2 linked regions of the Schizosaccharomyces pombe genome follow. The protein of the gene in region 1 interacts with the protein of each later gene in a pairwise test. Each region holds a gene or a part of one and is shown in the gene's direction. Other genes may lie near its edges. The genes, in order: dri1 and moc3.

Region 1 (4,854 bases):
AGCAAGCTGAACTTGTTTACCAAACTTCTTGAGTTCTCGTTGTTTCTTAGCTTGCTGGGATAGTTTTTTAGCGGTTGCTTCTTTAATCAACTCTTGACGCACTTTCTCCATGTGGTCATCGGACTTTAACATTTCCGCAAAATAGTCATGAGGTCGGGAAATTAGAACATTCGCCTCACGAAGTTTGGCAAAAGCCGCCTTTACAGAGCTCACACCTTGTTTATAAAAGGCCAGTTCACGGGCAAGATCATCCTCAACATTTTCAATTATTATAGGCTCCTTAGTAGTAACAGCTTGGTTTTCAACAAACGAAATATCATCAGGATATTTAATTCGTTCATAGATGTTCTCTAGTGCAACAGTGTTATTTATAGCTAATTTTCTTTTTCTAATCAAATCAGCGTCTTCTTCCAACTCAATTCCTTCAAGATCAGAAAGTTCAACTTCATCTGATCCCTCAGATTCGTTCTCTTGATCAGCTGTATCAGCTGTTTCAATAATAGGAGATTTAATGGTATTGATCATTTCTTTCTCATTTAATGCCTCAACAGAAGTAGAAGATTCATTGCTTTCCTTGTTTTTCTTTTCCTTCATAGCAGCTTTAGCTGCCTTTTTCTGAGCTCTTCTTTGCTTTGATTCTATTCCTGCCATCGTTGTAGTCTAGTGTGTATTCTACACAAAGCTGAATTTGAATATTTTTCAAAGGTTTTGAAAAATTTGCTTTGTGCTACTTTGATTAATACAATCTACGATTAGGCTAACGGTGACAAAGATTTTTACTATTGCAGTTCACATCAAATAATAAAGAGCACATTTAGAATCGCTAAGCTGATTAACGTTGCGTTATATTACTCTTAGTCTTCATTTAGGTTGTACGGAAGGCATTTAATAAATCCTTAACGTAAATTTTAACCCTTTATTTGTCCGTATAAAATTCGTTGTATCAATTTTAAGCTATAACTTGGTCGCATTTTATCGATTGTAGAGTTATTGCTGATAAATTTATGTTTTGCTACATTACACCAACTCTAATTGAAATGACGGTAATTTAGTAAATTATCAGTTGTGTAAGTAAATTACTATCAGCTTTTTTATGTAGCAAGATGTACAAATACTTTTCAATGGATGGCTTTTCAGTATAACTTTTCCCTTGACTTCCTGATACAATTGTCAAAATAAACAACAGTTCTTTGATTGTTTACGTGGTTACAAAAAACCCCGGTATTGTTCATAAGATGTAAGCTACGCAGTTTGGTATCTGATTTAAGGATACGTAGAACTGCGGTGAGTTTTCCTTGTGATCTATTATATTACAATACACAGGTTGTATAAGTAGCAACTGAGTATAGGTATTGTATTAACTGGGTTATAATGTTAACTATCACTAATATAGCTCATAACTGAACTGAGGAACGAGGTTCAGCAGTAGCTCTATTTATAGTATTCAGATAATATTGATCTTAATAGATTATCATTAAGATCAATCTCCATATCGTATTATACATGGTACGATATATAATTAGAACATGTGACATATAGTGATACTCAACGTAGTGTAGTATTGCTGACATAAGAATACCAAATGCTTGATGCGCTAAATTATGGTATAATAATTTATCGTAAAATTTTCATTTTCATTGTGTTTCGAAAGTATTGCTAAATTTTCTGCTTTGCATGCAAAAGAATCCCACAACAATACACGATTCGACAGTAACATCAGTTGTACATATTATTGTTCATAAAAGATTTTTCTCCTTTGAATAATTCCGCTTAGGTGGATTCTAAATCTAGATTTGTTACTTTTGTGACTGTACTTGTGAGTGACAAAGAAAAACACCAACGGGTTTGTAGCTTTGCAATATCATGTCAAAGCTACCAAGTCCAACAATGCCTCTGCCAGAATCGGTAGGCGACTTGGTTGTTTTGCACTTTGAAACAAATCTTGACGATCACGGCATTAGCATTGGCCGGGCGCCATGTGAAATTCATGAAATATGCTGGGTTATATTAGATGGAAAAACTTTGGAAAAACAACACTGTGAATCGTGTAGTATTCGTGAAGATAGTTCTCGTCATGGAATTTGTGGTTCTGCTAGTTCCTTAACTGAAGCTATCTTCACATTGGATAATTCAATCCAAGAACGATTAAACTTCCAAGGAAAACCTTTTACATTTGTTGTTATGAATGGAAGAGAGCTTCGTGTATTATTGCCAAAAGAAGCACGGGATCAGGGAATTACGCTACCTTCCTACATGCGCCATCCTCGCTTGTTTGATTTATCAAGCGAATACGCCAAGTGGCAGATTCGCATGGGTGCAGTACCACCATACACAATAACGCTTTCTCATATTTTTGGTAAATTAGATGTCGACTCTTTACCACCTATTACAGAGTCAAAAGCAATTGAATTATCACCTTCAGATGCTCCTTACATAACCAAAGGTCTTACTCAATGCTGGCGCCTTGCAAATGCTACCACCTTATTGCTTCGTAAAGCAGAGAAAGATTCTCGAGGTCATTCTCTTCCTTCGGTGCTTACACAACCCATTAACTGTCAAGCAGACGCACGAAGCTTTTATGCAGAACGGTCAAAAATTGTACACGTTGCAGGTTTGACCAACGATGTAACACAGCTCGAGTTGGAAAGTTGGTTTACTAATCATGGGGTTCATCCCGTAGCTTTATGGACTTTAAAGACTCCCGAACCTTACAAATCTACGGGTACAGGTTTTGTGCTATTTGCTAGTCATGAAGATGCTGCCGATGCTCTTGCCTTTAATGGATATTGCTTAGGAGATCGGATGCTGGAAATTATTCCCAGTAGTACAAAGGTTTTAGATAAAGCTTCAGACATTCTAATTCCTTTTCCTTCTAGTAAGAATCGCCCACGCCCTGGGGATTGGAATTGCCCAATGTGCGGTTTCAGCAATTTTCAACGTCGAACGTCTTGTTTCCGATGCTCATTTCCTGGTCCTACTCATGTTTCAGCTGCTACTGGTAGCAATACTTTTTCACCTGATTTCCCTTATGGAAATTCATACGGCAACGGCTCCTCTCACTTTATTGCCAACTATGGTGGATCTGTCCATCATTCTAACGAAAATACCATGCAAAGTGATCTTCAGCATCAGAATGGCAATAATGCTGTAAATCATCATCATTCTTCACGCTCATTCGGTGGTAATGTCCCTTTTCGTGCTGGTGATTGGAAATGTGGCTCTGAGGGTTGTGGATATCACAATTTCGCAAAAAATGTTTGCTGCTTACGCTGTGGGGCTAGCCGTGCTACAGCTGCAGTCGTAGCAGATCATGCATCTGGGCCGGTGAATGGTTCGTATAGTCATAATTCATATTCTCACATCCCCCCTGTTATGAGTACAAGTCCTCCTAATCATTCGGTGTATCCTTACTCACAACTTTCTATAAATTCAGTAACGGCTAATCATGGTCAAAATTTTGGGGGACAAAATGGTGGTAATGTATCTAGGTTCGATGATCATGGACGCTTTAAAGAAGTATCACGTCCTTCCGTTACTACTGATCAAGGCGATTGGTTATGTGAGTGTGGATTTACTAATTTTCGTCGCCGCAGTAATTGTCTCCGTTGCAATGCTCCGCATTACTCTAATATGCAGATTCCTGCATCCTTGCCTTCGGATTTCAATGCTTACGTGTAAAGTTGGACAATTATATTTAATGGATAGGTCCCGTAGTACAAAGGATATTTGGTAAACACTATAGCTAAAAATGCAAGTGATTAGTGCGATAAAAATAATCACTTATGTCTTGAAGGAGCAAATTTGATGAAACAATTGTTATTATTTAAAGGCAGCATTTTGAAAAGCAACTCTATTGGAACAAAAATTTAAAAGTTGTATTGGGTTTTCTTATGAAGGTTTTGCATAAACATTGAATTACAGGTGTGGTCAAAATTAGTTCATAATTTTCTTTGGTGGGTTTTTTTCTTCTATTTAGTGCTATTTAATTTTTGACCTTGAAGAAATTTTCGGGGAAAAAACAGCAGTCAATCGTATAGAGCTCTCCCATATTTGGGATTTGGGGATTCATTTGTTTTGGAGTGTCACACTCATTGAACGTTTGAAAAAATGGTTGTTTACCTCTTACAGTTGTCAGTGCTGTTCAAATTTATAGGGTTCTTCGGTAAATAATGTATTGTTAATATTCCTTTTTTTTATTATATAATTTATAAAAATTTTGTAACGATAATGATTAAATCAATCGATACATGAGGTTACTTGTAATACATGGCATTATTAGAGAGAATTAAATTCGCATATGTAGCATTTAAAAACAGTTAGTTGATGCTTTTCTATTTTTTCTTTTTATTCTTAAAGGGTTATTCTCAATATATACAAATCCACACCAGTGTGGCTATATACTGTACTCGAATGTTGACGACCTTTCTGCTTCTTTAATCCATACCCTAATTAAATATAATCCATGTAGATAGTTCAACAAAAAACATGAGATAAGATTCAACACACACTCATGATTAGTTAAATACTTGTTGAACATTCCGGAAATTTTTGACGATTGTACGTATCTTTTCCTTCAACGCATTTGGGTGTTTATCTCTTTTAGAATGCCATTAGCATAACCAGGGGATGATTGCAAAAATCAATTTCATTGATCATCAATATCGTTGGAAAAAACAATTCTATCGAAAGTTTAAAGCATACCAAGCAAATTCTTAAAGCAGCTTATATATTTTCTGACATTATGAATCAGGTTACTCAATTTAGTGGAAATTCTGCAAACTTGATGCTTTACTGGATTCTAAAAAGTTATTACTCTAGGTTTGATAGAATTATGTGGATTGATACTTTAGGTAC
Region 2 (4,876 bases), 1.0 Mb from region 1:
ATGGTCTTATAGTAGCAGCGGATTAACCAAACAAGTTGATATTCCTGCACATGATACCCGAGTTTTGTATTCAGCTTTATCGCCTGATGGAAGAATTCTTTCAACTGCAGCCAGTGATGAGAATCTGAAATTTTGGCGAGTTTATGATGGGGACCACGTTAAAAGGCCCATTCCAATTACCAAAACCCCGTCCAGCAGCATAACAATCCGTTGAACAACACCAGTTTCTTTTAGATTTCAACGTTTAGCTCGTCGAATCACTATGTTGCATCAGTTACTCACTATTTATTTATTTGGATTTGGCGCTAATGGGAAGATAATTGACACGTTTAAACTAATATTTTAATGACTCGTGAATAAATAATATGTGCTACAATTCAACTTGAGTCGATTTTATTATAATAGGATTGATGCTCGTATAACAAATTTGTAAATTCAATAGTTTGGCTTTTAATGAGAACAAGTTGGTTAATATAAATCTTCAGCCTGGCAAATCATTTTTCCGAAATGTGACCTTGTTGTTCCAATCGCTAAAGATATTTTGGTCTCATTGTTGTTATAATGTTCGCATCATGGAAGAGTACTAGGTAGTTATAAAAAAAAAAAAAAAAAAAAAAAACTTATCAATCTAATTCGTATTATTGAAACACAGATGAATTAAGAAAAAAAAAAACTAATGCTAATTCACGCTCATAATTGGCAAACATTTGGTATTTACGATCTCATGTATTTTCTTAACTACCTATTGCTGTACCATAGTTGGTTTTCTTCATCGGGTAATGTTAATCTCATCAGTAAACAAATACTGTTATTATACGTTATTTGCTTTAAGAAGTGAAATGAGAAAAATGGGTGAACTAGGTATGAATAGTGAATCCCCTATTGTTACAGGAGGATATGGATTTCAATAAAAGGTAAGACCTTTGACAAAGCCGACTAACCTTGGGGTGATCTGATTGAGATTAAGTACAATCATCCTGATAAAGCAATAATCGCATCACGAACAACGAACAATTCCACCTTTAGGGGTGGATAATTTGGTTTTGTGAGACTTGCATTGGCATAGGTTTTGATGCTTTTTGTGCCTTTCTCATAAATCTGGAGTATAGTTTTCTTACCGAGCGAAGAAACATGATGCTTTTGATCCAGTGACAGTTTCCCAGAGATCGACAATAGGCCACGGATCTTCGCTATGGTTATCAAGCTACTAGGGTACTAGGGTAGGTGTAGCGTTCAAAGCTAACAGTTGTATTCAAGCTTAAGTTTATATTTTGTTAATATAAAAGAGTGACAAGTTTGCATATGAATGAAGATTTTCGCTAGTGCAGAGTGAATGAACGATTTGAAATAAAAAAAAAATGCAGGAAGCATCTTCGTATGCGTAAGCCATGTAAAGATCAACCAAATCGCTGTAACAATGGAGAGACATGTGGCTCCTGAACATGACAGATATTCGAAGCCACGTGGTTATTAACCAACTTGATCAACCTAAATGAGAATGCAAACTATATTTAGGTACATGCAAAGAATTTTTTTTATAAATTGTCTGAAAGAAAAAGAAAAAAAACAGAAAAAAACGAAAAGCAAGGAATGCTATTTATGAAACACATGAGGGCATAATCTAAGTATCAAAAAATTAACGAAACATCTGTGTTTTTTTTTTATTTTTAAAAGAACATTAGAGGTTAAACAAGTTAATCGTTCTTATACTGTTTTTGCTTGGCTCGTGATTTTCTCAATTCTTTGGATTTTTGTACTAATGCGTATCAAGCAAGCTACTTTACTAACGTCTAAATAAAAAGCTCTTAGTATTGTTGTTGCCTTTGGGCTTATCAAATTTGCCGCCTTATCACTCGCTAATGTCGAGGTTCCTACTTGAAAGTTGTTCCAACATTTTTTCTAAGTCCTTTATTCACCCAAATTTGCATTTGTAAATTGGGTGAGCTTGTCGCTTTTGCTAGTTTTGTTTTCAAGTCACTTCCTATAAACCTATTGATTGTGCAAGAGTTGCTAGCAAATTGCTAGACGACCATTGATTTTCACCTTCTTTTGTTTTTTTAGGGCTTTTTCTTTTGTTATTACGAACAGTTTGGCCGTCCGGTTATTCTGAAATAATTTATTGTATTCATATATATATAATTATAGAGTTAGTAACGCTACCTTTTTTAAAAAAAAGACTACAAAGAGTTTCTTGGCCTTTACGAAAAAGGTGCTTAGTTTCCTTGTTAAATTGGAGCTTAAATTTTGTATAAATCGGCTTCCAATTTCATGTTCTGTGCTTGCGTTTTTTCTTTGCGCGCTTTTCTCAAGCAGCGTAGCGTTTTCAAATCGGGCTTTCTTTACTTTTGATTTGTTTAGTTCCTATTATCTTGTTATTCTTTTTTTTTCTATCTATTGTTTCCCTTGCAGTTATGAACCCGTATGTTTCTTATCCCGAAATTCATATGAAACGGAATAGAACGGGTAGTATTAATTCAAATCCGCTATATATTCCCAACCCAAACGTCGAGCCTACGCCCAAGCCCACAAAAAGAAGAACGAAAACTGGATGTTTAACATGTCGCCGTCGCAGGATCAAGTGCGACGAAACCAAACCTTTTTGTTTGAACTGCACAAAGACAAATAGGGAATGTGAAGGTTATCCAAATTCAGCTGCTCAAATGCAAGCCATGGGGAGTGTATCGCCTCCTGAGCTAAGCGTTCATTCTGCTCAACAGCCATTGATACCTACTTCAATTGCTTCAAGTAGCGCTCAAACCGGAGACACTTTTTCCGGCTCTTCACAATCCAATTTTAATACAAATGATCTTAATCAGATGACCTCCTCCTCCAATTTATCCACCGTTACCCCAATCAAACAGGATCATCAAAAACCTATGAATTTACAAGGATTTCCAAGTGCTTATCAACAGCATCAATACCTTCAATCCAATCATAACGTTCCTACAAATAATTCTTCTAGCGCTACTTCGTCTACAAAACCCTCTGTACAATCGGTGGGTCAGGCCTCTTACCCTTTTCTTTCATCAGTTTCCAATTTCCCTTCAAACTTTAATTCCGAACTGTTTCCGTTTTATTTTCACGATGTCGTACCTTCTATTTGTGCATTTGAATTTGATAATAACATAGCCTTGCATTTTTGGTCAGTCACTGTTCCCCAGTTTGCTCAATCGATGCCTTGTATTGCTAATTCTTTAATGGCTTTTGCGTCTATTAAGAAGCTCGACGTTTTTGGTGCTTACAGTCATTTGACCAGAGCTCTTCGCTGTCCAATGCCTGGTCCCAATTCTTTTGAATACCTGTTGGTTTCTGCATTTTTGACTCTCACTCAGCTCAATCTCCCAGCCTATGATCTCAATTTTTGTAATAATTTTATTAGAAAGTTAAGTTGGTCTTCGTCTACCAAATCAAATTATGTCAGCTTATTGATTGCTATGGTCGTTCGTGAACTAGTTTTTGCAATTCTTCCTCGTGGGTGTATCTGGGGGTTTAATGGAAAGCCTTTATCGGAAGTTTCTGTTTCTCGAAGTCATGCACCTGTTTCGGATTCTTTGTTTACTATTGGATTGGACATTCTCTCTCAACCAACCTTGTCTGATGATTTGCATCGAGAACGAATGGTTGCTTGGCGAGATGAATATCATGTGCACTTGTATTCAGCATCAAGAAGTCCTCTTACTAAAGTTATAGATTGTGTAGGACATGCCGTTACCAAAAACAATAATGACGTTCTTTCTGGCTTACAGCAATTAATGCAAGAAGAATGCACAGATATTGCAGTATTACGCACTTCCTATTTATGCGTATTATCTCTACAAAATGTTTTTGCATCAAACTCTAAAGAATTTAAACTTCGGGCACAAATCGAATCTCATTTCGGAAGATTGATGCTAGAACATTTTATGGATTGCAATGTCTTAAATCGACCAGTACTTTAATTTTAAAATCATTTTGATGCTTTTCAATAAATATTGATATAGAACTGTATAATAGCTAGACAAAATCACGCATCAAACATATAATCTCTCGTTAATAAGATAAACACTTCATTTGTAAGATTCGCATAGTGTAAAAAGAGCCGAAATTTACGAATTACGGTACGACAGTCATACAAATGGTTTAGTCTTTGTTCTAAACATACTATATATTACCTTAGGAAGAAGACTATTGAGCGGTGGCTGTATGGAGATGTGGTTCAGAAGGGTACACAGGTGCGGGACTTCCCATTCTAGTTGCGAGGGAAGACTGTTCTTTTAAGCTGCTCAATTGCTTAAAGCGGAATTTCTCGTAATGATAGTATGAGGTCGTTTCAATTAAATCTTGAAGATGAGTTCGCATCAAAAAGTTACGAAGAAAAACAAACTCGCAGTGGTTTTCATCATCCACATTGACAACCCCCCATCTGTTTTGACGACCACGAATAGGCCTTCCATCTACGATAATGGCTTTTTCGGAACCGACCACGGCAAAAGGAATAAGATTTCGGACGGCAGCATTTAGATTAATTTCCTCCTCATCGGCGTCATCAGAATCATAAGGATACAAATTGATGTCGTGTTTAACAAATTCTTCACGGATTTGCTGCTTAAATGCTGCTCTTTCTTCAAGAGTCAATGAATCAGACTTAGCGATAACAGGCACAACATTTACGACTTCTGTTAAGCGTTTGAGGACAGCAATATCAATAGGGCGCAAAGAATGTCCAGTTGGGCGAATAAAGAATAAACAACAATGTACTCTTGTGTCTTGTAGACGTTTCTCGCGATGTGAATTTAATTCACGACGAAGATAGGAAGAGTGTTGGTCCCTAATGTACTTAATTATAGGCTCCCAGCTATTATAGTTAGAAATTGCTGTGCAGGAATAGAAATTTCCA

What was found.
Region 2: the proteins of dri1 (region 1) and moc3 interact in a two-hybrid assay, tested with the Schizosaccharomyces pombe proteins (2 studies listed by BioGRID).

The regions. Positions count from the first base shown.
Region 1 is NC_003424.3:2,008,729-2,013,582, reverse strand, and holds dri1 (RNA-binding protein involved in heterochromatin assembly Dri1), read left to right. Parts: upstream 1-1,877; 5' UTR 1,878-1,887; coding exon 1,888-3,678; 3' UTR 3,679-4,238; downstream 4,239-4,854. Other genes in the region: rRNA processing protein Ebp2, read right to left, coding at 1-651; rdl1 (RAD51D-like protein 1), read left to right, coding at 4,742-4,854. UniProt on the Schizosaccharomyces pombe protein: Mediates heterochromatin assembly by promoting RNAi-mediated heterochromatin silencing and histone deacetylation. Binds pericetromeric transcripts and recruits the RNA-induced transcriptional silencing (RITS) complex to heterochromatin.
Region 2 is NC_003424.3:990,814-995,689, reverse strand, and holds moc3 (DNA-binding transcription factor Moc3), read left to right. Parts: upstream 1-1,901; 5' UTR 1,902-2,411; coding exon 2,412-3,938; 3' UTR 3,939-4,058; downstream 4,059-4,876. Other genes in the region: ubiquitin ligase Slp1, read left to right, coding at 1-214; mitotic and meiotic (sporulation) septin Spn2, read right to left, coding at 4,165-4,834. UniProt on the Schizosaccharomyces pombe protein: Induces sexual development and ascus formation. Also involved in calcium homeostasis.